Linked DNA regions of Coturnix japonica. The protein of the gene in region 4 interacts with the protein of the main gene of each other region in a pairwise test. Links are inferred from orthologs where the notes say so. Each region holds a gene or a part of one and is shown on either strand. Other genes may lie near its edges.

What was found. The genes of interacting proteins can lie anywhere in the genome.
Region 1: the proteins of ABI2 (region 4) and STAM2 interact in binary tests that used the Homo sapiens proteins (3 or more experiments, as listed by UniProt). The link is inferred for Coturnix japonica from reciprocal best matches to the Homo sapiens genes ABI2 and STAM2.
Region 2: the proteins of ABI2 (region 4) and keratin, type I cytoskeletal 20-like interact in binary tests that used the Homo sapiens proteins (3 or more experiments, as listed by UniProt). The link is inferred for Coturnix japonica from reciprocal best matches to the Homo sapiens genes ABI2 and KRT20.
Region 3: the proteins of ABI2 (region 4) and DTNB interact in binary tests that used the Homo sapiens proteins (3 or more experiments, as listed by UniProt). The link is inferred for Coturnix japonica from reciprocal best matches to the Homo sapiens genes ABI2 and DTNB.

What each region holds. Positions count from the first base shown.
Region 1 is NC_029522.1:30,548,553-30,554,407, forward strand, and holds the start of STAM2 (signal transducing adapter molecule 2), read left to right. Parts: upstream 1-2,358; 5' UTR 2,359-2,486; coding exon 2,487-2,526; intron 2,527-5,855.
Region 2 is NC_029542.1:4,173,180-4,178,962, forward strand, and holds the start of keratin, type I cytoskeletal 20-like, read right to left. Parts: upstream 3,498-5,783; 5' UTR 3,439-3,497; coding exon 3,019-3,438; intron 2,789-3,018; coding exon 2,706-2,788; intron 2,505-2,705; coding exon 2,348-2,504; intron 2,152-2,347; coding exon 1,990-2,151; intron 1,908-1,989; coding exon 1,782-1,907; intron 1,641-1,781; coding exon 1,420-1,640; intron 504-1,419; coding exon 463-503; intron 70-462; coding exon 1-69. UniProt on the Homo sapiens protein: Plays a significant role in maintaining keratin filament organization in intestinal epithelia. When phosphorylated, plays a role in the secretion of mucin in the small intestine.
Region 3 is NC_029518.1:95,642,052-95,647,968, reverse strand, and holds the start of DTNB (dystrobrevin beta), read left to right. Parts: upstream 1-2,420; 5' UTR 2,421-2,479; exon of another isoform or gene 2,480-2,543; intron 2,544-2,869; 5' UTR 2,870-2,938; intron 2,939-4,481; exon of another isoform or gene 4,482-4,500; intron 4,501-5,917.
Region 4 is NC_029522.1:11,947,045-11,952,300, reverse strand, and holds part of ABI2 (abl interactor 2), read left to right. Parts: intron 1-325; coding exon 326-450; intron 451-1,395; coding exon 1,396-1,575; intron 1,576-2,227; coding exon 2,228-2,386; intron 2,387-5,256. UniProt on the Homo sapiens protein: Regulator of actin cytoskeleton dynamics underlying cell motility and adhesion. Functions as a component of the WAVE complex, which activates actin nucleating machinery Arp2/3 to drive lamellipodia formation.

The DNA of each region.
Region 1 (5,855 bases), about 19 Mb from region 4:
AGCACTGAGGGAGAGAGGCCATTATAAAAAGAGGAAAAAATATCTCAGTAAACCACAGAAACTGGCCAGTGAACTCGGGGGCAGCCAGAGAAACACAGAGAACTCAGTCAGTTACAAAACAAAAGTCAAAGTCCTAGTCAGGCACTTCTGTGCTTTCAGGCACTAGGAAAAAAGCTCCCGAAAGAGCCACCCAAGTTTTCTAAAAGCAAACATTTTGGACAATATTAATTGTTCTTTAAAACATCCATTATAAAAGTTGAGGCTTGAAATTAAATATTATGACAACACATTGTTACAAAAGTGACGTGGAAAGATCAGAGTTGGCCCCTTTGATGTGTATATGGAAACCCAGAGGGAGCAGCACCCACATCCCCAAAGCCCTATAGATCTGCTACGGGTACAGACAGCAGAGCTTGCAGGCAGTCCCAGTGATGGTAAAACATCCACATCATGGGGGCAAGGAGAAACTGCCAGGTCTGGAGTCAGGAAAAACAAGTTCAGAAGTAACTTTATTATTATTATTATTGTAATTTTTCTGTCCTCCTCAGCAGCACTTCCTCAGAGTTCTTAATATGAATAGCTTGTTCCTGCAGGACTCAAGATAATTGGCAGTGCCCTAATTTTTTTCTTCCCTTGTCTTATTATTGTGGATTTAATTATTTATTGAGGAACTCAGGTTCATTAAGCACCACTGGGAAATACCCTGAGGCTCTGGTTGTGGTGTCACCTAGAGAAGGAGCTCTGCAGGCACTTCTGTACAAGTATTTGGAGCTGGGGGAACTCAGACTCAGCACCACAAGTCCTGCCTCATTCTTCATTTCTAGGAAGTGGGCCAGTAATATGGTGCCCCACCGCAGCCAGGTAAAAAGCGAAGCAAATGTTTAGGAGCTGATTCATCCTATGCAATACCAAGGTGACCGTAACAACATTGCAGGATGGTAAGAAGTGACAAAATAGCCATTTACTTGCCTGGGCAGCTGCTGCGATAACTGCACCACACGCAGTCTTCTCTGTGGAGAAGAACAGAGCTGAAGTTAATACAAATGAGAACTCATTGTCTTCTATAGAACTCATTACATTTTTCTATTTCAGCCAGTCGACATTAGTGTTTATTGCATTTCTTTACAGATCACAAAATCACAGAATGACGCGGGTTGGAAGGGACCTCAAGGATCATGTAGTTCCAACCCCCCTGCCTGACAGGGCCACCAAATATACACATTTACTAGATCAGGTTGCCCAGGAGACCCCATAGACCCCATAGAGACCCCATAGACCCCATAGACCCCATAGACCCCATAGAGACCCCATAGACCCCATAGAGACCCCATAGATCAGGTTGCCCAGGGCCCCATCCAAACTGGTCTTGAACACCTCCAAGGACGGGGCATCCACAACCTCCCTGGGCAGCCTGTTCCAGGGCCTAACCACCAATTGATTCGTCCTGTCTTTTTAAGGCAATCAAACAAATTAATGACGTTTTGACTCCGCTTGATTCACTACGTGAAATCATCAGTTTCGACTGAATTCGTAAATTTAAGGTCGAAGGAAAAACACTCCGTTTTGTCATCAAAATCCTCCAAAGTGGGAGAGCGGTGCCACCTGCAGACTGCTCCAACACAGCCACCAGCACAACGGGAGCTCCGTCCCACACCGCAGCCCGTGAGTCATTAAGCTGCTATAGAGGCAGCCACAGAGCCAGCAAAGCTAGAGGGCATTTGATAATTAGCCCGATGTGGTTAGAAATAAACGCAAACTGCCTTCATTTGTCAAGAAACGTCCGTGTGTGCTTCAAGTTAGACTCCATTTCTCATATACAATCCAGAAGTCCTTGAAAGTATTCACAGAATCACAGAATGAGCCGGGTTGGAAGGGACCTCAGGGATCATGTAGTTCCAACCCCCCTGCCTGGCAGGGCCACCAAACATACACCTTTACTAGATCAGGTTGCCCAGGAGACCCCATAGATCCCATAGAGACCCCATAGACCCCATAGATCCCATAGAGACTCCATAGACCCCATAGATCCCCATAGAGACCCCATAGATCAGGTTGTGCCCATGGCCCCGTCCAACCTGGCCTTGAACACCTCCAAGGACGGGGCATCCACAACCTCCCTGTGCAGCCTGTTCCAGTTCCTAACCACTCTCCTAGTGAAGAACTTCCCCCTAACATCCAACCTAAATCTTCCCTCTTTTAACTTAAAACCATCTCCCCGTGTCCTGCTATTGTCAGCCCTTTCGACAACCCAGTTACAGGGGGATGAGAAGTGAACATCACACACACCCCTCTCTCCTCCCGTCCCGCCTCAACATGGCTCCTCCCAGCCGTGACGAAGGGCCGTGGCCGAGGCGCCGAGGTGCGGGGCCCGCCCAAACCCCGCGAGGTCCCCGGGCTGCCCCGGCCGGTGCCTGATTCTCCCCGCCGCATTCGGCTTTGGGGCCCGGTGTGAGGGGCCGGAGCGGGGCCGGGCGGCCGCCGTGGAGATGCCGCTGTTCGCGTCCAACCCCTTCGAGCAGGACGTGGGTGAGTGAGCGGGGAGCGGTGCGGAGCTCGGCGGGACGCGGCTGGGCTCGGTGCAGCGTTGGGCCTGTGAGGGGTGAGCGGCGGCGATGCCCGGCCGTATCTCGGGTCGGCGGGTCGGGCTGGGATTGTGGAGGCCAAGATCGGCCTTGGTGGTGCCGGCGGCGGGATAGCGCCCACCGGGTGTAAGAATGGACACAGCCCCACTTCGGCCCGAGCCGCCGCTCCGTTCCATTGCAAAACCGGGGGCTGGTGCGGCCGTGACTCAGCCGGGCTGGTCCGGGTCGGGTCGTGATCCAGCGCTGCCCTCGGGGACATCCAGCTTGTGCCGTGTCTTGTTGTTGGCTTTTTGTTCTTTAAAGGCCCGCTGCTGAGCTGCAACACAGCAAAAGCAATTAAAATTTCCCCCGTCCTTGGAGGTGTTCAAGACCAGGTTGGACGGGGCCCTGGGCAACATGATCTAGTAAAGGTGGCCCTGCCAGGCAGGGGGGTTGGAACTACATGATCCTTGAGGTCCCTTCAAACCCGGGTCATTCTGTGATTTCCCAGGGCTTTAGGTACGAGAAGAGTTTTGTCATTGCCGAATCGTGGAACCAGAGGAGTTGGAAGGGATCTTGGAGCTCCTCCAGCCCAGTCCCCTGAGAGCTGGTTCCCCAGAGCTCATTGCAGGTTCCCTAGAGCAGGATTCTGGCCACTGGCAGGAAGAAGTGGTGGCTGTCAGTGCTCACGTTAACACCCCAGTTCCTTGTGGTGAGTGTAAGTCCTGCTCCTCTGCTCTGTGCTGGTGAGGTTTCACCTGGAGTGCTGCGTCCAGATGTGGAGCTCTCGGTACAGGAGGGACATGGAGCTGCTGGAGAGTGTCCAGAGGAGGGCTACAAAAACAGTCCACAGGATGGAATGGAACACTTCTCCTATGAGGACAGGATCAGAGAGCTGGGGCTGTGCAGCCTGGAGAAGACAAGGCTCCGAGGTGACCTGATAATAGTGGCCTCTCAGTGTCTACAGGGGAGCTACAGGAAGGAAGGGGATGGACTCTTTAGCAGGGTCTGTGGTGACAGAACAAGGGGAAATGGCACTGAGCTTGAAAAGGGTAGATTTAGGTTAGATAAAAGCCTTTTACAGTGAGGTTAGTGAGGTACTGGAACAGTGGTGTGGTTGATGCCCCATCCCTGGAGACTGTCAAGGTAAGGCTCAATCAGACCCTGGGCAATCTGACTTAGCTTGGTGCCCCTGTTGGTTGCGAGGGAGCTGGACTAGATGGCCCTCAGAGGTCCCTTCCAACTCTGAGGTTTCACTGTTATCTTCGTGTGCCTTCAAAGTTTGTTTATTGAAGGCTTTGCCTTCAGTTCTCTTTGATGTTGACCTGTGGCTAAAATGAAGTAGCAGCCGCTTAGGCCAGCTGTACTTGTTTCAAAGAACTTGTGTGTGTTCTGTACCTTTCTCATAGCTCTGATGTATTTGCACAAGTGAAGACTTCTTGAACTGGGGACTCACGGCTGTACAAAATCCTTTGTCAAAACTGAAAAGCTGCAACAGCTCTAAAAGCATAGGGCTGCAAAGTGATGGTCAGTGTGCCTCTAGTTTCTTAAACTCTGTATTATACATAGCGAGTAGAACTGCTCACACATGCTGCTATGAAACAAGAGCAGTGGGCTGGGAATTTCATAGTTATTGAGGCTAAATCTCGCAGTGCCTTGCTAGGAAGAATCTACTTTTGTGCCACTAGGAGCTTTTTTTTCTTTCAGCTATTATTACTTAGTAAATCAGACAACACGGAGCAGCAAATAACTGAACACTGTTGTTCTGTACTTTCCCTGGTGGTACTCACCTCAGGCTGCTCATGCTGCTGTCGAGCTTTAACTTTGTGATTCGAGGTTTTATTTTCTCATTCATCTTTTTGATTTATAAATAATAAAGGTGCGTACCACGAGGGCAGTCGAGCTCTGCTGATGTCCTGATGCTACTGGGAAGGAGAGCTCTTCCATCTTCTTGTCCACTCAGGTGCTGTGGGTTGCTCTCTGGGCTGATTCAGTGCATTCTCTTCAGCAGAAAACAGATTGCAGTGGAGTGCTTGGCTGACAGTTGGGATCATCTGTGAAGGCGATGGAGTTTGGAGGCTCGGATCAGCTCATCAGAGGCTGCAAAGTGGCAGTGAGGGGCAGGGCTCCCTGGGAAGGTTGAAGCCCTACTTCTGCTGGCAGCAAGAAATTGGGTTGGTTTGGATATCTGTTCAGGCCATGCCTTCGGTATTGCAGCTTTCTTGGGAGGGGGCCTTTAGAAATTATAGATAAACACAGCTGCAGCTGTTGTTTTCTTAGTTCTGAACTTGTGTTTGCTTTGCAGTAGATCTGCATAGGGTCTTACTTCCTCAGCATTTGCTTTGGTTGCATTGTCTATAGTTGCAGTTCCATGAGATGAACCTATGGGATAGTTTCAGGAGTTCCATTTCTCTCACCTGTGGGTTTTTTAAAGATTCTTATTATTTCGGTAGAGAGAAGTGGTGTTTTTTTTTTTAAATTCTTATTATTTTGGTAGAGAGAGTGCCACGAGACTTGAGTTCTTTAAAGGGTTTGGAACATTTTAATTTCCTATCTAAATCTATTCATCATTAGTTCACACACACTCGCTGTTTTCCCCCATTGTCAGCCTTCTTAAATAACCTTCATCTTCTAAAAGTAGTTGCTCCTCCAGCAGAGGACAAGCCTCCTGCTTTTCATCCTTTGTTTAGTCAGCGTTATTGGTGAGGTTGTTAACACAATCAGGGAGGTTGGAAGTATTTGTGTAGTTTGACTGGCATCCAGAATTACATGCCGTGTCACAGGTTGTTGGGAACTCCTATGATCGCATTTTGTGTTTCCTTGTTCATTGCTGGAGCATTTACCGGCTGTGTTGTTATATTCTAGTGTTATATTTGCCTTCTTGTTTCTGCTTCATGTGCTGTTCTTCATTGTCTTGTACTTGCACTTGGCATGCTCGTGCTTCTCCTCTTGTTTCCAACCACTGACATCTTGTTCCTAGGAGGATCTTTGATACACAGGCTGTGTGGGTTTGCATTTTGTCCTGCTGCTGTCTTGGTCTGTCTAACCCACTCCTCAGTAGCCTTCTCCTTATGTGACGCTTTAGTTTTCCCTGTTGCTGATAATACCTTCCAACTCCATTAGCTTCCTTTGCAGACCCTTACTCCTGCTGTCAGTGCCTGCCAAAACACGTTCATTTCATGACTAATTCTTGAGGCGTTGGGCTCCCTACCCTCTTCATAGTGCTTTACATCACTATGTGTCTTCCTTATAATGTGGAGCGATCCAAGAACTGTAGCTGATAACTCACACATG
Region 2 (5,783 bases), on a different chromosome or scaffold from region 4:
GAGAGGACACGACTTTGCCGTCAACCACCTCTTCAACAATTGTCTTGATCTTCTTAATTTTACTTGATTCTGGTAATGAAATTGAACAGTAAATTAATAAAAATGCAGTGTGCATTGACAGAATGTTAAAGTGTGTGCACTTCGTTTAGGAGCCCAATCTCTGTGCAGTCAGTGGAGAGAAGCAGACACCTCTGAAAGCCCTTGGAAAGGAATTCCATGGCTTTGCCATCCATCTGGCCCTTTGAGAAGCCTGTGGTTTTACCTCTGGCACCTGGGTTACTTACATAAAGCAGGGCTTGTATAATCCCTGGAGGTTACCTGTTCATACAGTTGATTGTTTTCTTGTTTTAAGATTTCACCAGTTGATTATTTGCTCTGAAACTGCACTTTTTGAAATCAGCCCGCTTAATTCCATAACATTTAAACAGGAAGCCATCAAAAGCACATGCCTGTGCAACATACCTTTTTCAAGTTCATTTGTAAGTATATCCTCTTGGACAACCCTGTTCGGATTTTAAACAGAAAAATGTAAGTATATTATGCCTGACATAGTGAAGAAACAACCTGGCATGTTTTCTGCACCTTTAATATAAACAGGTATATTTCCTTTCATCAAGACTTTAGTTCAGCCCTTGTCACGTGTTTAGATGAGTTTTCAGTACTAAAGTGAATTTTGTTAAGCGTCAGCTATAGGTGAAATTCACCTGCAGGCTAATTTCTGCAGTGTTACAACTTCAGCTCAGGAGGATTTGCCCGGCCTGGTTCCTGAGCCAGAACTGACCTTTGAACCATAGGACCTTTGAGGGAAGCAGCGCTGTCTGCTTGTGCTGCTCTGCACTCTTTCACAGACCTCTGTGCACTGCAGAGCAAGGGATGCTGGACTTTCCAGACAGTAAATGTCAGCTCATTTGCACCTCCTACGTATATAAGTGGCTCAGCTACTGGTGGCAGAAGTGCAGCAGGATGGAATCCTGCACGGGCTCCCAGACTTGCCATAGACTGCAGGAGGTCAGTGTGCGCTCACTGAGTGCCTTGCTCTGATGTGGTCAGGTGCTCATGCTACCAAAAGCAGTTTAAAATGATGTGCCCTGAGTTTCTGTCATTACAGTTATGGAAAAGTTTATCTAAAACTGCATCACTTTTGTTCATGGAGTGTGGGCGGCTGTCAAGATACTCAATTCAAGAAGAGTAACAGTGTGTACCCGTGCAGAGGGTGGCATAGACTGGTCTGAACACTGCAGCAGCCTCTGAAGGAGCACAGACTTGGAGCCTACAGCTGAGAGCCGGGCAGCAGGCAGACTTTTTTCCTTCAAAAACCAGTTGCCAATAGGCAGATTTTACCACCGTTTCTGTCTGAGAATTTAGAGCTCATTTGCACTGCTGTCAGTGGTGCAAAGCTGCCGGAGCCCCTTTCCTCACCTGATGTCCTCCCCTTCCAGCAGACGTCGGTACGTGGCGATCTCCATCTCCAGGCGAGTCTTGATGTCCAGCAGGATGCTGTACTCCGTGTTCTGCCCCTCCATGTCAGCCCGCAGCTGCCTGAGCTGAGCCTCTAACCTGGCAATTGTTTCCTGGATTTGAGCCAACTGAAAACTGTAACGTGCTTCAGTTTCAGCCAGAGAATCTTCCAGAGTCTTCTTCTACAGTTGGTGAAAAAGAACAGAGATTTATTGTTCAAGAGGATACATCTTGGCCTTAAAATTACATTTTGAAATATGTCCCAGTTTTTGTTGTTATCTCTATAAACACAGCCCTTATTTCAAGAACTGTTCATCACTCACCATGTTCAGATGGGTCTGTAATTCCAGCTCCAGGCTCTGGGAGATCTGTCTCCGATCTGTGACCTCTCTCCTTTGTTCTTGCAGCTGCTCTACATTGATTGCTACTTCCTGGTTCAGTGCTTCTGTCTGAAATATGGAAATGGAAGGACTGTGAGCTGTGACCAGACATGACAGAGGCTCTCGCTGGTGTTGAAGCAATTGACCTTACTTGCTTTTCAAATCGTTCTTTGGCTTCTTGGCGGTTCTTTTCTGCCATTTCTTCATACTGCCGTCTCATGTTTTCCATAATACTTGCAAGATCAACACCTGGAGCAGCATCCACCTCTACGTTAACCGAGCCACCCACTTGTTTGCGCAGCCTTTCAACCTCCTACAACATTGAGCACTGCGTTAGCATCAGCTAAAGTGAACTTCCAGGCCCAAATATTGGGCAGAAGCTCAGAAATACAGAAACAGAGCAACTCTTAATTCTTAAATTTAAATTTAGCTCTTAATTTAACTCTTAAATTTAATTTGTAAATGCCTCTGACAAAAAAGAAATGATGACACTGTTCTGCTGCTCTCACCTCTTCATGGTTCTTCTTAAGGAAAATGATTTCTTCATTCACGCTTTCAATCTGTGCCTCCAGATCTGACTTGGTTAAGGTCAGGTCGTCAAGGACTCGCATGAGCCCATTGATGTCACTCTCAACACTTTGCCTGAGCAAGAGCTCATTTTCATACCTGTAAAACAAGGCTTCTTTCGCCACCATAGAAGTGCAGCAGTTTGACAGAAACATCAAATCAATAACTTCTACAGCCCGAGGCCTAAAGTATTTGTTTTTACTGAGCTCTGTGGTTTACTTCTCAGCTTTGATACTAATAACTAGATGTTATCCTGAATAACTGAAGCATGAAGGAGTGCAGGCAGTGCGTGGAACTTACTTCAGTCTGAAATCATCAGCAGCCAGCTTGGCGTTGTCAATCTGCAGGACAAGCCTTGCATTTTCCAACTGTGCAGCACTGATCTAAAAAGGAAAGGTTGGAAAGGGATGAAGCAGAGGTAATGCAGCTCGCAAAGGACACTGAGTGAGTCTTAAACATTAGAAAGTCTGTCACTAATTTGTGTCTGGCCAGAATGAAGCATTTCCTGTTCCCAGGTGAGACAGATCCTATTTGATCTACTTTTCCACAGTAGATTGTTACCTTCCCCAAAGCTGCAGTTTATGCTTTTATAGATGGCTGTAGGAGATCTTACCTTGTTTTGGAGTTCCTCGATTGTTTGGAAGTATGAGCTGTAGTCACTCCTTATGCCCACTGTATTCTTCTCGTGCCACTCCTTGATCTGCTTTTCAAGCAGGGAGTTTGATTTCTCCAGAGAGCGCACCCTCTCCAGATAGGCAGCCAAGCGGTCATTAAGGTTCTGCATGGTTGATTTCTCATTGCCAGCGAGCAGCAGGTCGTTATCAGAGATGTTGGAGAAGGCACCGCTGGAGCTCTGTCTGCGGACGGTGCTGCTGGAGATGCGGGTGCCGTAGCCGCCAGCCCCACCATAGACACTGGGCGCCTGGATCCGCTGCACGGCCGCGCTCCTGACGGACAGAGCGCTGCTACCAGGAGCTGTGCCCTGCAAACGGGCGGCTGTACCCAGCTGGAAGCTCTGTGTGGAGAAGGACATCGTGCCTCCTGCAAAGGTGAAGCGGCTGACTGTACGACAGCGAGTTGGAGTGAAGTGCTGTGTGCTCTGTAAACCTTATATTGTCTTTGGAAGAGGAAGCACGGTGGTTGTAAACCCCACCTCTCTTGACGCATACTGTAATTGGTGTCAGCACAAATAACATGCAGGACATTGTCCCCACACTCTGTAATGCAAAGGGTTTTTAATCTCTCCATCTGCGTTTGAAAAAAAACTGCTCAGGAAATTTAGCTTTATTCATTTTTATTTTGAATGAAAGATAAAACACAAACGAGCTGCTGAATCATTTATTGCAGCCTAGCCAGCCTATCTCTATAGAGCCATTGTCGAACAAACCCTGTGCGGGTTATGAAATTAAAATGAGTTGACCGTATGTGACAAGAGACCTTAAATATTTATATCTCAATCCAGTGTACATTGCTGTTGTGTGAGCCATCGTCTGGGCCTGAGGATGGTGTAGGAAGGTCTTGAAATGGTCAGGAAGGTGGCATTTGTATCTACCGCCTTCATTCATTCTACAGTAAGCACAGAACAGTAATCTTAGTGTTGTCAAAATGACTGGTGTAGTTTGCTTGCATTGAATGTACACTGTTCAGTGATAGAAAGCCCTTAGAAGTTGAACTGGGCTGCAGTGTGGTTGAGATAAGGCAGAAAATGTAGTAGGCAAAGCTGTAAGGATATGAGAACCACCTGGATGGCTCCCTTTATTTTACATGTGAGATGCTGGTCCATAGTGCTGAGACCAAGCTTCCAGCACAGCTCCAAGCCCTCCTGCCCTGGCAGCGTGCTCAGCACGTTGTGCCCTCTGGCTGCTCTGCCTTTGACAGGAAATCAGCTGCCTCTGATCAGCACACAAAGAAACCCAGCAGCTGTGTTTTGTAGTTCCTCCAGCTGCAATGTATGTACTGCTGAGATGTGACAGGCAGAGATACAATGGAAATCGAGTGAAAGAGCTCAGAGCTGGGGGAGTTCCTGGTGCTGCATGAAAGCAGGCAGCAGGTGTGCAGCAGGACAAAGCAGGTGGAGTTCCTTGGGGCACTGCATTTAGTGTACTTCAGTGTATTAATAATGTACGGCTATTCAGGTTGAACAATTAACATGTATTGTTTATATTAGTGGAAAAGAGCTGCTGTACATACTGGTCTTTTAACCTGGGACAAGGCAATGGGTGACGTGCTGTTCTCTGGGCACTATGCTGGATCTTGGCAGCATCCTCAGGTTTCTGAGAGCTGAGTGTGGGATTCGGTGGGACCAGTTCAGCTCAGATTGGATACAGAACTACCAATAGTTTGCTGAGTGCAGCTGTAACAAGGCAGAGTTCAGCTGCTCTGGAAATGTGCATCTTCCAAAGCAAAACGAGCAGCATTCAGAGCAGGGCTCCTTGCCATGAGGATGCAAAGTGTACATTCAGGTGTCTGAACTGTGGTTGGACCTCGAGCTTTGGGTGTGACTCAGAAGCATAAATGTGCATTTATGGCAGGTCCGGTCAAAGTCCAGCAGCCAGGTCAAATGTCCCGTTGCTATAGACACAGGGTGGGTCTGTTCTATCTGCACTCAATAGGGATCATTTCCAGCTGTAGGGCAGAGCTCACATCTTTAAAACCACGAGAAGAACGCAGCAAAAGTCCTGCTACAGTTACATCTGCTGTCTGTGCATTGCTCTGCCTGCATCTCTCACAGGACTCTCCAATGGTTTGTTTTCAGTAGACATTCTGCTTTGTCTTCTTCCAAGTTATTAAAATAGTTTCCCCTCAGGTACAGTTGACACCTCAGGTGAGGTTTTATCGCTCCATACATTTTTTTGTCGTGGAATACAATGAATTTTGATGTCTGCAGCTGTGATCGGTGTGAGTGCAGTGCTGCTAGTGCTGCAGGGGTGCTTCAGTTTAGTTGTGCAGCTCCCACTCGAGATGCGGCTGTGAGCAAATCCATGGAGCACAGACAGTGCGATGTCAGCCTGCAGGTTTGTGTGTAGTCACAACTGTACATAGCAACGCCTGGAAGCTGATTTCCTGAAGGACTGTCACCTTTGTGACGGACACTGAGAGCACAGCAGAGATAACCATCCAGGGGTCTGATAACGTGTGCGTGCCGTTTCGTATTAGTCACCAACCAGCCAGAGGTAACCGGGCATGGGAGTTCCAGGAAAAAAGACACACCCAGCGTTGGCTGTGGGTTTGAGCAGCCTGTAGCTGGGGCACAGGCTTCCCTTTAGGCTGAATTAAAGGTTTAACTGAAATAAAGGAGTTTTAAGTTCAGGCTTTAGCGATGATCCGCTTTAATGGTGAAATCCAGTGCCTGCTTATTAGTCCCTGTGACCACATGGT
Region 3 (5,917 bases), on a different chromosome or scaffold from region 4:
TGCTATTTCTCCTATCTGTTTATCACCAATGAGTGCCCGTTTCCTGAGCACTCCATGCCTTCCTACACTGGTTTTCCTTCAGCTCTTCAGAGTACTGAGCCTGCTGTGCTAAGTGCCCTGGGAGGGAGCTGCGCAGAGGCCATCCTGTTACATTTGGACATTTCATCTCTGCTTTAACAGACTGCTTTCAGTTTAATCATCATCATCTGGTTTGTTTTGTTCTCTGCCAAATTGCAACCAACCCAAAACTTGTGAGTGAAAGAAACGCTGCAGAATCAATGTCTAAATATAGAGAAGAAGCACACCCATGGCTCAAGCAAAGCAATTATCTTGTCACACCAGAAAGGAACAAAAAGGAGGCTGTTCCTCGTTCCTGATCTCAGCTTCTGCTTTATCTCAGTTGCTGTTAAGTGGGGGTATGCATGAGATGGAAGAGCAGCTCTGGACACACAGCCGGAGGTACCTCTATCTACACATATAGATTAAAGGCTGCAGGGATCTTCTTTGGTACTCAGCTGCTCGTCTGAAAAACACCTACCTTCAGAATTTAAAGTTCTTCAGTTACAACGTCAAGCAAAATGGGACAGCAAATGTGTTACTCCGGTGTCTTGGTGAGGCCACTCTCAACCTAACCTTTTGCTCATGCTTCTTTTGGGCTGATCTCATTACAGCCAAGTGAGTTTAGACTCAGAGCCTTCCGACTTGTGAACACCGGGCACTTGAGGTTGTGAGAGCTCAAGGGCGTGAATGTGTAACTGCGGAAGAGCAGTTGTTGTAATGGCGAAGGATAGAGCAAAAACATGCTATGCCAGAAGGGATGAAAATGGCAAAATACCAGAGGTGGAAATATCTCCTTCTCTGGAGATATTCAAGACCTGCCTGGACACCTACCTGTGCAACCTGGTGTAGGGAACTTGCTTTGGCAGGGGGGTTGGACTCGATGATCTCTGGAGGTCCCTTCCAACCCCTACAATTCTGTGTGAAAAGCAGTCAGTCATACGAAGGAGATGTTTTTGGTGATCTGAGAGATTCCTTCCAGTCTGACATTTCTAATCACTCCATGAACCACGTCACATTTGGAGATGCCGTATGAAGGAGGGTCCGGCTCACCCGCTGTCACAACGCAGTGAGCTCAGACAAGCGATGGTTGTGTAAGCTTCATGCTCTGGCTCTTCAATGTGCCATCAAGAGCTCCCCTTGGAGCAGCCAATTCTGCACAAATCTCTCCTGTTGTAAGACCAGACCTGAGGTGGTGCTGTCCTCCTGCACTTCACCTTTCCGACAGCCAGCGGCTCCAATCTGCGCCATATTTTGCACCATTCATCACTGAGGAGAGGTTTGTCCTTGGAATGACTTTGCTGCCTCAGTGCTGGTGAGACCTCACAGCTGGGGAGCTCGGGCTGCTCCCTTTCCTTGGGTCTCTGTGGTTTCTTTGTGGTTCTTTTAGTATTCTTGCATCACTATGGGAAAAGAAAGAAAAAGAACACAGGCACATGAAAACCCATACACAGCCTGTTGGAAAATATCTCCTTTTACTTCAGATTAATTGAAAAATACACTGAGTTATTCCAAGTCCTCCACTTCTCCCTACAACACCTAACCAACCCCAAGGCTTTATTTTTCTGCTTTTATTTCTTCTTCCCTGCTGCTAAATTTGGGTTTGCCGTCTCCCTTCACACTTACCGAGACCCTTTGCTGACCTCCCCCTGAAGCTGGGCCAAACCACAGCTCTTTAAATGGCAGCTGTGCTGAAGCTGAGTCCCAGGAGGTGTTTTGCTCTTGTAATTCCATTCAGATGCGGATGGCTCCAATGCAGTGGGGGCACAGGGCAGGCAGCAGCGCTGGATGAGAAGAGGTAGAATTGTTTTACACAGCATCCCAGTTGGGTAAAAGGAAAACATAACAGTGGGCTGAATTAAAGTGTTACTGAGAGAGAACTCAAAGAGGGGAGGTTGAGGTTGGATGTCAGGGGGAAGTTATTTACTGTGAGAGCGATGAGGTGCTGGAACAGCTGCTCAATGAGGCTGTGGATGCTCCGTCCATCCTTGAGGGTGTTCATGGCCAGGTTGGATGTGGCCCTGAGCAGCCTGGGCTGGTATTAGATGTGGAGGGGGTTGAAGCTTCACTACCGCCATCTCGACGTCCCCTCATCGCCCTGAGGAGAGGCGCTGACCGCCCACTGCGCCTGCGCAGGAGACGGGAGCGCGCGAAGCCCCGCCGGCTGTTGATTGGCTGGAGAGCACGAGCGCTCCCGAGGAGGGGCGGGGCGAGCTCACGCACGTCCGCCGCCGGAGAAGCGTCCGCTCGCCGATTGGCTGTGGAGGTGAGGAGGCGGGGCGAGGCACGAGGGCTCGCTCAGCCATTGGCTCTCGGAGGCAGAGGGCGGGGTGGGATTGGCCGGAGGGTGCGCGCCCCCGCGGAGACGCTTTGCGATTGGCTGCGCGCCGTGAGGCGGCCGGGGACCGTTGGAGTGGGGACGGTGAGGCGGAGCGGCGGTGGATGCGGCCCGGGCGGAGCGGGGCGGGGCGGCCAACACGGTTATGGTGTGTGGGGGCTGCGGGCATCAATGGGACCGGTCGGATTGTCTATGTATTGGGCTGCGCTAATAGCGGCGGGCTCCGAGAGCCGAGAAACGGGGAGGGCGGCGTGGGGCTGAGGAAGGAGACCCGTCCCAAGCTCGGTGCTGGGAGTGCTGGGCCCTCCAGGCCGTGACATGGGCAGCCCGTCCGTGTACCGACGTGGAGCCTCCCGCTAAGGGTGCAGCATGAAGTTGGGTCTTAGCTTGAGCTGAACGGGGCCGATAACCGGCTGTTTGTCATAGTGGCTCTTTCTTTTTTTTTCTTTTCTCGTGTGGTTGGTTGTTTTTCAGGTCGTCCTTCGATGTTGGCAGAAGGAGTTGAGGTGGCTGCTGCCCTGAGAGGCTCCGTGTGCCATCCAGGTAATGTGGCATCCAGGTAACTGTGGCTGGGCTGATGTGCACGGAGCTAAACAGGCTGTGTCTGTGGGTTCATGGTCAACAGAGCATCCTTAGGGTTGGAAGGGAACCTTAAAGACCACCTGTCCCACTGAGCAGGGACACACAGCTCCATCAGTGCTCACAGCCCATCCAGCCTGACCTTGGCTGTGTGCAGGGATATCCAGCACCTCTCTAGGCAACCTGATGGACCTGGAGAGCCATAGTGCTATATATGTATATGTCATAGTGGTGAGGCTGGTCTCTTTTCAGTAGTGCGTGGGGATAGGACTAGGGGTAATGGGATGAAAGTACAACATAGGAAGTTCCTTTATACAGTGAGGGTGACGGAGCACTGGAACAGGCTGCACAGGGAGGTGGTGGAGTCTCCTTCTCTGGAGATATTTAAGACTCGCCTGGACGCCTACCTGTGTGACATGGTGTAGGGAGCTGCTTTGGCAGGGGGGTTGGACTCGATGATCTCTAGAGGTCCCTTCCAACCCCTACAATTCTGTGATTCTGTGCAGCGCTCCTCTTATTCATAAGTGATTGTTAAGCCCTAGATAGGCTGGGGAGCCCTTTGCCAATGGTTTGTGTGCTGCTTGAGAACGCTCTGATAACACTCGAGCCACTGCCTTGAGTTTGGTCATCAGCTGTGCAGTGCTGCTCTTTAAAAACGCTTTGTACTTTCAGTTTTCTTATTCACGTTCCTGAAACTGAGTGTGCAGTGCGTCAGCTTCCTTGTTCTGCTGTTGGCTGCTGTGGCTTTCCAGGCAAAAAAAAAAAAAAAGAAGTTAAAATTCTCATTTCCACGTTGGGAAATGTGAGAAACGTTGGCCTGAAGAATTACTTGGGTTGGTTTTTATTTGTCCTCCTGCCTTTCATTGGTAAGTGTGTGTGATCCTGTACTGCCAGCTGATATTACAAAGTGCACTCGAAGGAATAGAGGTAACCCAGAATTGTCTGTTTGAGGCTGTTGCTTTCTGTGTTTCCAAAGGATATTTTAGATTAGTGGAGAGTTTGGGTAAAAGGGTGTTGTTGCTGACAAGCAACTGGAGAAGATGGAAAGAATTAATTGCTGTAGGGCAGTTCCAGCTTAGCCCTCTCGTTCGTCACATTATTTGTCAGTACCAGCATAAATAACAGTTGTGAGTGGTATAGAAAGCAGCCTGCTTTTCTTAGCCTTATCACTGCTGCTCTTTAACTTTGTGCTTTTGGGGTGGTGAGATTTGGTGATAAGGACTTAAATTTGTAACATTTATGTTGAGTTATGTTTCGGGTTTTTCTCTCAGTGCCAAAGTGGAGAAATCATGATTGTAAGGTGCACATTTGGTTTAGTGTTTAGATAGGCTCCTGCTGATAACTTGTGCCTAAGCTTAGCTTCGTGGCTCTCTTGCAGTCATGGAATGAATCATAGAATGGCCTGGGTTGAAAAGGACCACAGTGATCATCCAGTTCCCCCTGCTGTGTGCAGGGTCACCAACCATCAGACCAGGCTGCCCAGAGCCACATCCAGCCTGGCCTTGAATGCCTGCAGGGAAGGAAAGGTGCTGTATCATATCTGTGTGCTTTTTACAAAACCTTCTTTAGAAGCAGCTCCTGATCCACTGTGTTTAAAAGAAAATTAACAAACACAAGGGAAAGCCCCCAAAATGTAAAAGCAACACCAAAAAAACGCTAACTTGTGACTTTGCAATGTAATTCAATACAGGCTTGGTCTTGATCTGGAGTTTCTTGATGATGCTCTTTTAAACTGCCATTCATTATGGCTTGTGAAGTTCTTAAGCAAACATTGGAGCTTTGTTTGGGATCCGTAGAACCGGGAGGTGTATGCGGTTCCTCATGGATGCTCTGTTGTCAGGTTGGTGTAGATATTGAGGTAACATATCAAAGCATTCTTAATACTTCTGTGCACCATTACTTATGCTTTAATTAATTCCATTTAGGGTTGGGAACTGAGTCTGAAATTGTAGTTGAACTAGAAGAATGATCAGAATTGTGTAAAATATGCTTTGAAAGAAGGCGTTGGTGGTCTGTTAGTGTGAGTGGCTCTTCTTTTTCTGTCCTTGGGTTTCCATTGAATGGTTTGGGTTGGAAGGGACATTAAACCTGTTAAATGTATGCCCATGAAATAACTACTAGAGCTCTTCCTTTTTCCTGGTAAGAGGTGTAGTGAAGTAAAGAATCATAGAATTAATTACAGAATGGCCTGGGTTGAAAAGGACCACAATGATCATCTGATTTCAGCCCCCCTGTTATGTGCAGGGTCACCAACCAGCAGCCCAGGCTGCCCAGAGCCACATCCAGCCTGGCCTTGAATGCCTGCAGGGATGGGGCATCCACAGCCTCCTTGGGCAACCTGTACCCAACTTTTAATGGATTTCTTTTAATGGAGTACTTTTGGTGGAGTACTTTTAATCGTTTACATGCATTCATGTCATAAGCAGTGCCTGATAGTGGTTATCAGATCTTCAGGGTATCAGAGCTTTTTTTGGAGGATGTCTCACGAGTGGAATTACAACATAAAACCAAATGGAGTATTTGAAAAACAACCCCAAAACAAGAGGAAAAAAGCAGCACGTCCCTTTGATAGCTCAGAAGCTGATTTATTTAGTCCCTAAATTAAAGTAATTAGGAAGCAGTGAGGCAACAGCTGAAGTTGCAGATACGGAACCAGGATGACAGCATTTCAGGCTATGATTTATAACATGGCAGGAGATGCCTGTGGTGGTGCTTGGGGAAGAACAGATGGTGCGATTTGGGATGGTGGCTGTGGTTGGGGCAAGAGCAAGGACTGTGGCTTTAGCTGGAGTTGGATCCATGGGCTCCTCCCACTGATAGAATCACGTAGAATGGCCTGGGTTGAAAAGGACTACAGTGACCATCTGGTTCCAACCCCCTGCTGTGTGCAGGGTTGCCAACCAGCACACCAGGCTGCCCAGAGCCACATCCAGCCTGGCCTTG
Region 4 (5,256 bases):
AAGGCAAAAATGTGCTCTAATTAAACTGGAGTAGTGAGTTGTGTTAACATTGTTCACTTAATTCTGTGGTTACCTTGATTTTTAATATTACAATGTAGTGATAGCACTTCTGTGCAAGCTCTCTAGGACTAGGTGAAAAAGCTTCTGCTGTAGTCAAAATGAAGAGGACTTCTTGGAAAAGTTAGATTTCTATAGCTTTATATCATTGTTTCTTTTTTCTTGTTTCCTGTTACAACTCTGAAATAGCAAATTGCTTTCTGAGGCATTTGTGTTTCAGCATGCAGAGCAGCACATTCATTTCTTGGGTTACTTTGGTTTCTTACAGCAGCAGTGGGAGTAGTGGAGGAAGCCACCCAAGTAGTCGGAGCAGTAGTCGCGAGAACAGTGGAAGTGGCAGTGTCGGTGTTCCTATTGCTGTTCCCACGCCATCTCCTCCCAGTGTCTATCCAGGTAAATGGAAACTTGCTGTTCCTCTTCCTGTTTCAGCATTACCTTTAAAATTTGCAGACTTGAGGAGGAAGTCCCATGAGGAACCTCAGAATTCATTTTCCAGAAGCATGCAGTCATTGAAAATTGCTTGCTATTGGTAGCGTTAATTTGAATAGAGTAATATTTTTTTTGAGAGTGTCTGAGGTACTGCAGAGTTCATTTTATGCGTTACTTGATTTACAAATGTTTTTTGCCTGGCTGCCTGCATGAAACCAGATAGAACACAGTATCTTTTTTGGTGGGCAGGGAGAAATTTATCCCTTTTAAGCAAATTGATGCATTTTCATTGACTGTTCATGCAGATCTATAGCAGCTTGCTTTTAGACAGTTGGATTAAAAGAGAGGCAGGCAGAGAGTAAATCCTTAAATACACAGTGCAAGCCTAGCTGAGTTGTCATAAAAAAGTGCTCGTTTACTGTAACTACACCTGTCTTCCCAGAAATAGGAAGTGATGTTAGTGCTCCTTGTTCAGCACTTTCGGTGAAAAAGAGCATATAGTTTTGGCTTGCAGTGTGATCTGAAATACATGATGTTTTTGAACCAAAGGAGCACTTTTGTCTTTCTTCTTCTGTATATTTGTACAAAAACTCAATGCAGCTATGCTACAGATTACAGCCTAAATAACAAAGATTAAAGACATCTTTCAAAAGTAATGGCTCTCACTGGAAGGTTCTAGGTTGTTACCTTCAGACCTGGAAAGAAGCAGCAGGTTTGCTTGACCCTCATGAAACTGTCTACGTAAGAATGAGTCTTTCTTTAGTAGCTTCATTTTTCCCTCATCTCCTTGTGCATTCTAAAATACTATGCATCTAGTAAGTAGCTAACACTGAATAGTCAAAGGCTTTCAATAATCCTTGCTAACATATCTCCCTATTAACGCCACCTCTTCCTCCTCTCTTCACCTAGCCCCCGCTGGCTCATCTGGCACTTCTCCCCTTCCTTCTACCTCTGCTCCTGCCCCCACCCCTCCTGCTCCAGCCCCTTCCTCCTCTACCCCAGATGCTGCTGCTGCTGCAGGAGCCCAGCCCCTTGCTGATGGCTTCACCTCTCCAACTCCCCCTGCTGTTTCTTCCACGGCCTCTACAGGTGAGTGTCTGCTCCCTTGTGTGGGCAGATGGGCCCAGATGTGATCACGGTCTGAGGCTTTACAGAGCAAATTTTCAAGGAGTTGCTTCAATTGGTAACTCCTGAAAAACAGGTCTTTGAGTATGATTTCATTTATCCCATCCATTCAAGTGGTTTATAACGTTCTCTTCTCCCCAGATGATTCTCTGTATATTTCAGGAGCAGCAACAAGATATTTAGCATTGTGTTTTTCTGTGAATAAGAGCAAACAGTTTGTACATGTTGTGTTGCTTGACAGCTGGAGTGCAAAGTGATATTTTTTGCAGGTTTATAAATGAGAACTTCTTATAAATTCAGTTATTATAATAAGTTTCATAAAATGGATAAATGAAAGTGATTTTCTTTCACTTTATGGCATATGTACCTTTGCATTTTCTTTTTTGTATGTGTGATTAGTGATGATTACAGGCAGTTGGAGGAGTTTGGTTTTTTTTGTATTGCTGTTGAGACACGCAGTGCTCTGACAGTCCGGTAGCTGAGCTGACTGCTTATAGGATGTGGATTGTCTGTAAAAGAACAGAGATGTTTCCTAGCCTTTGAATTCTGAGTGGAGCTAAAAAAAAATAACAGGCATAATCCTTCCCTTGGTAACACATTTCTTTTTCTAACCCAGGCCACCCAGTTCAGTTCTACAGCATGAACAGGCCTGCGTCTCGACATACGCCACCAACAATAGGAGGATCCCTGCCATATCGGCGTCCTCCTTCAATCACGTCACAGACGAGCCTTCAGAACCAGATAAATGGAGGACCTTTTTATAACCAGAACCCAGGTAAGAAAGGTTATCTGCTGTGATGAATGCAACGCAGGGTTGAATTGACTGACTTTCAGATCTCTGAAATCCTACATTTTGTCTCCAGCTCTTGCAGCCAGTCTGAGGTAACTTCCTGTACGTTGCTGGTAGCCGTGCTGAAGTGGAGGTGTGAGCACAGAGCATGCAGCTGTCATTATGGCACACAGCTCAGGACAATTTGGCTCTTGTTGTCAGATAGATTACTTTTGATCTCCCAGGATTTGCAGGATCTGTTGGACACCCTTCAGTCCTTTACTACACTATGTGTATAATGTAGCTGCTTTGGTGTGGAATAAGTATTTGGTTTTGCAGCAAAACACTGATTCTTCATTAATCAGTCTGTGTGCTTGTGTGCTTTTTCCTTGTGATTAACCACCAGTTCAGTAAATTGTTCTTCCTATATAGCGGTAAGTGTTAGAGATTTTAGACATCAGTGGTGTTTGGTACAGAGTGCAGGGGAGCTATGTCCCTTGTGAAGTTCCATATGTGATGTTATTCTAATGGATGACCTGTGCTCAAAAGCAGGTTGAGATTTTAACAAGCAGTGTTGTCGTGTATGTTGGGGAATTCAGCAGCTGTTCATCTCTGCTGTCCTCCCTGAGCTTCTGAGGAGAAGTGAAAGTATTGATGTGACACTAAGGGACGACTTTTCTTACAAAGCTACAATGCTTTGTAAGAAAATGCAAGGGATGCAAGGGACACAGTGAAAGTTCCTTGTCAGCAAAGTCAAGTCTGAAAGTTGATTTGAAACACTGTAGTGCTACTGTGTGGGTACTTTTGTTGATCATCTGTTTGGCTTTGTTGTTTTACATGAAGCATTGAATTAGGAATTAGGTTAATTGCTGCAGTTTGAGTTTAAGGGATCTGGTCAGGTCCAAATATTACTGCTTGTGAGTCAGACTGTGAAGAGATGCACGTGATTAACTTGAGAAAGAAGCAGGTGGTTCTGCTGGGGACAGAGAGGGTACAGGAGTTTGTATGAGTGAATTGCAGCTCTGTTGCGTGAAATACATGGTATTTGTTAGGCACGTTATACGCATGTTGAATTTTGAAGGGGAATAAATAGGAAGGAAGGGAAAACAGCTATAAAGGAAACATTTCAACATTGCTTTTTGCAGTATAGAGAATTTTCACTGCATCCAGACACATATGCAATTTTAGACAGCATATATAATGCCATTGCAGGTAATAATAAAGTTACCAAATAGACTTTATTTAAATTGTGTAAATGAAGGTCAGTCTGAGGACTCAAAAGGAAGGTAATGATTATGGTTAAGATAAAACAAAGAATGATGTCAGCTAGTGTTAACATCACCATTTTGATTAAACTCTGTGATCCAAGCACAACAAAGGGGTTTTTGTTGTGTTTGCCTAGAGTGCTTGTCTAGAGTGATTTGTCTTTCTACCTGGAAGGCCTTGTTATCTCCTTCAAGGACTTACATGCAGTACACAACATGCACAGAAGGGACCCGGGAGACCAAAGGTAGTCTCATATGGTACACAGGAAGCGTATGATTTCAAGTGATTTTGAATAAGGGAAACATTTTGAAACTAAGTATTTTTATAGTATATGTAATTAAAAAGGTGGTGACTTCATAGCTGGACAGGAACACTGCATTCCTGAATGCTGTTGCATTTCAATAGTGCTTCAAATTCAAGTTCCCTTTTCCTCTTTGGGAAATGCAAGACCAGGTCTTTTCCCAGAAGTTGTGGTTACTCCTGAAGAAATGTATTCTCTCCAAGGTCACCTCACTCAAATCAAAGAAGCTGTAATTAGAAATGTATATTAAGGTTTCCCAAGAAATACCAGTTAAGTGGTGAGGTAATGGAGCCTGCTTTATATGGAGGTATGTGGATACTCTTAACAAAGCAATGGTTACTCCATTTTGGTTTCTGTGTTTATTTTGTTTTGTTTGTGATGTGTGGTAGAAAAAAGAAGGTGAATGTGATTGGCAGAAGAAATTCAAAGTGCTTGTGAAAATAATTGCTAAAATGAGCAAACACTGTATTTTGAGATGTGAATTTAAAGTAACTTGGGCTTTTTTTTTTCCCCCATTTGCTGTGATGAGGGGTATTAATTCTGAAAAATGCTCAGTCACGCACTGTAGCTCTGGGATTAGACTGAAATTTAATTAGCTCACATCAGTAAGGTAAATAAACGTACTGGTACATGAAGTGTAGATTTATTTTTCTCCCCGCTATTCTCTTGGACATGATTAAATGTCTGCGTATGCCACGCTACCAAGAAATGACATGGTTGTGCTTTTCCTGAGGTGTGCTTTCTGGAAAATATTCCAAGAACTTTCTTGAAAAAAAGAATTGTCTTGCATTATCCTTACATGGTGAGACTCCAGTTTTGTTAACTAGAATTAACTAGTTTTTTGTACTTAGAGAATAAGCTCACTTATCTAATCAAGTGGATTTGCACATCTTGCACAAAAACAGCTTTTTCCGTTAGCAGCAAGCCTGCTGCTCAGAGTTCAGTGGTTTGCAGAATAAGGCAGAAAGGTAAAGCAGCACATTGGACTAGACTCTGCTGCTCTGCAACAGCAAAGTGTGCTTTGTTCTACCAGTGAGGCTCCTGGCTGTCCAGTCCAAGGTATCTTTCTGTTTCACTTAAGATTGCCTCATTTAATTAATTTTCTGTTTTATTTTTTTGCCCGTGTTTTGGAGAAAATTAGCTACATCTATTTTCAGGAATAAGGGTTTGTGGATGTTTTAACAGAAAAGACATTCAATTTATAAATACTAGATTGATGGAAGATTGTGGGGGGAGAAACTTCTTGATATATTTGTTAGATGGGCCTGTTTGTGAAGTCTGGTTCTGCTGTAAAGAACTTGAGGGAATC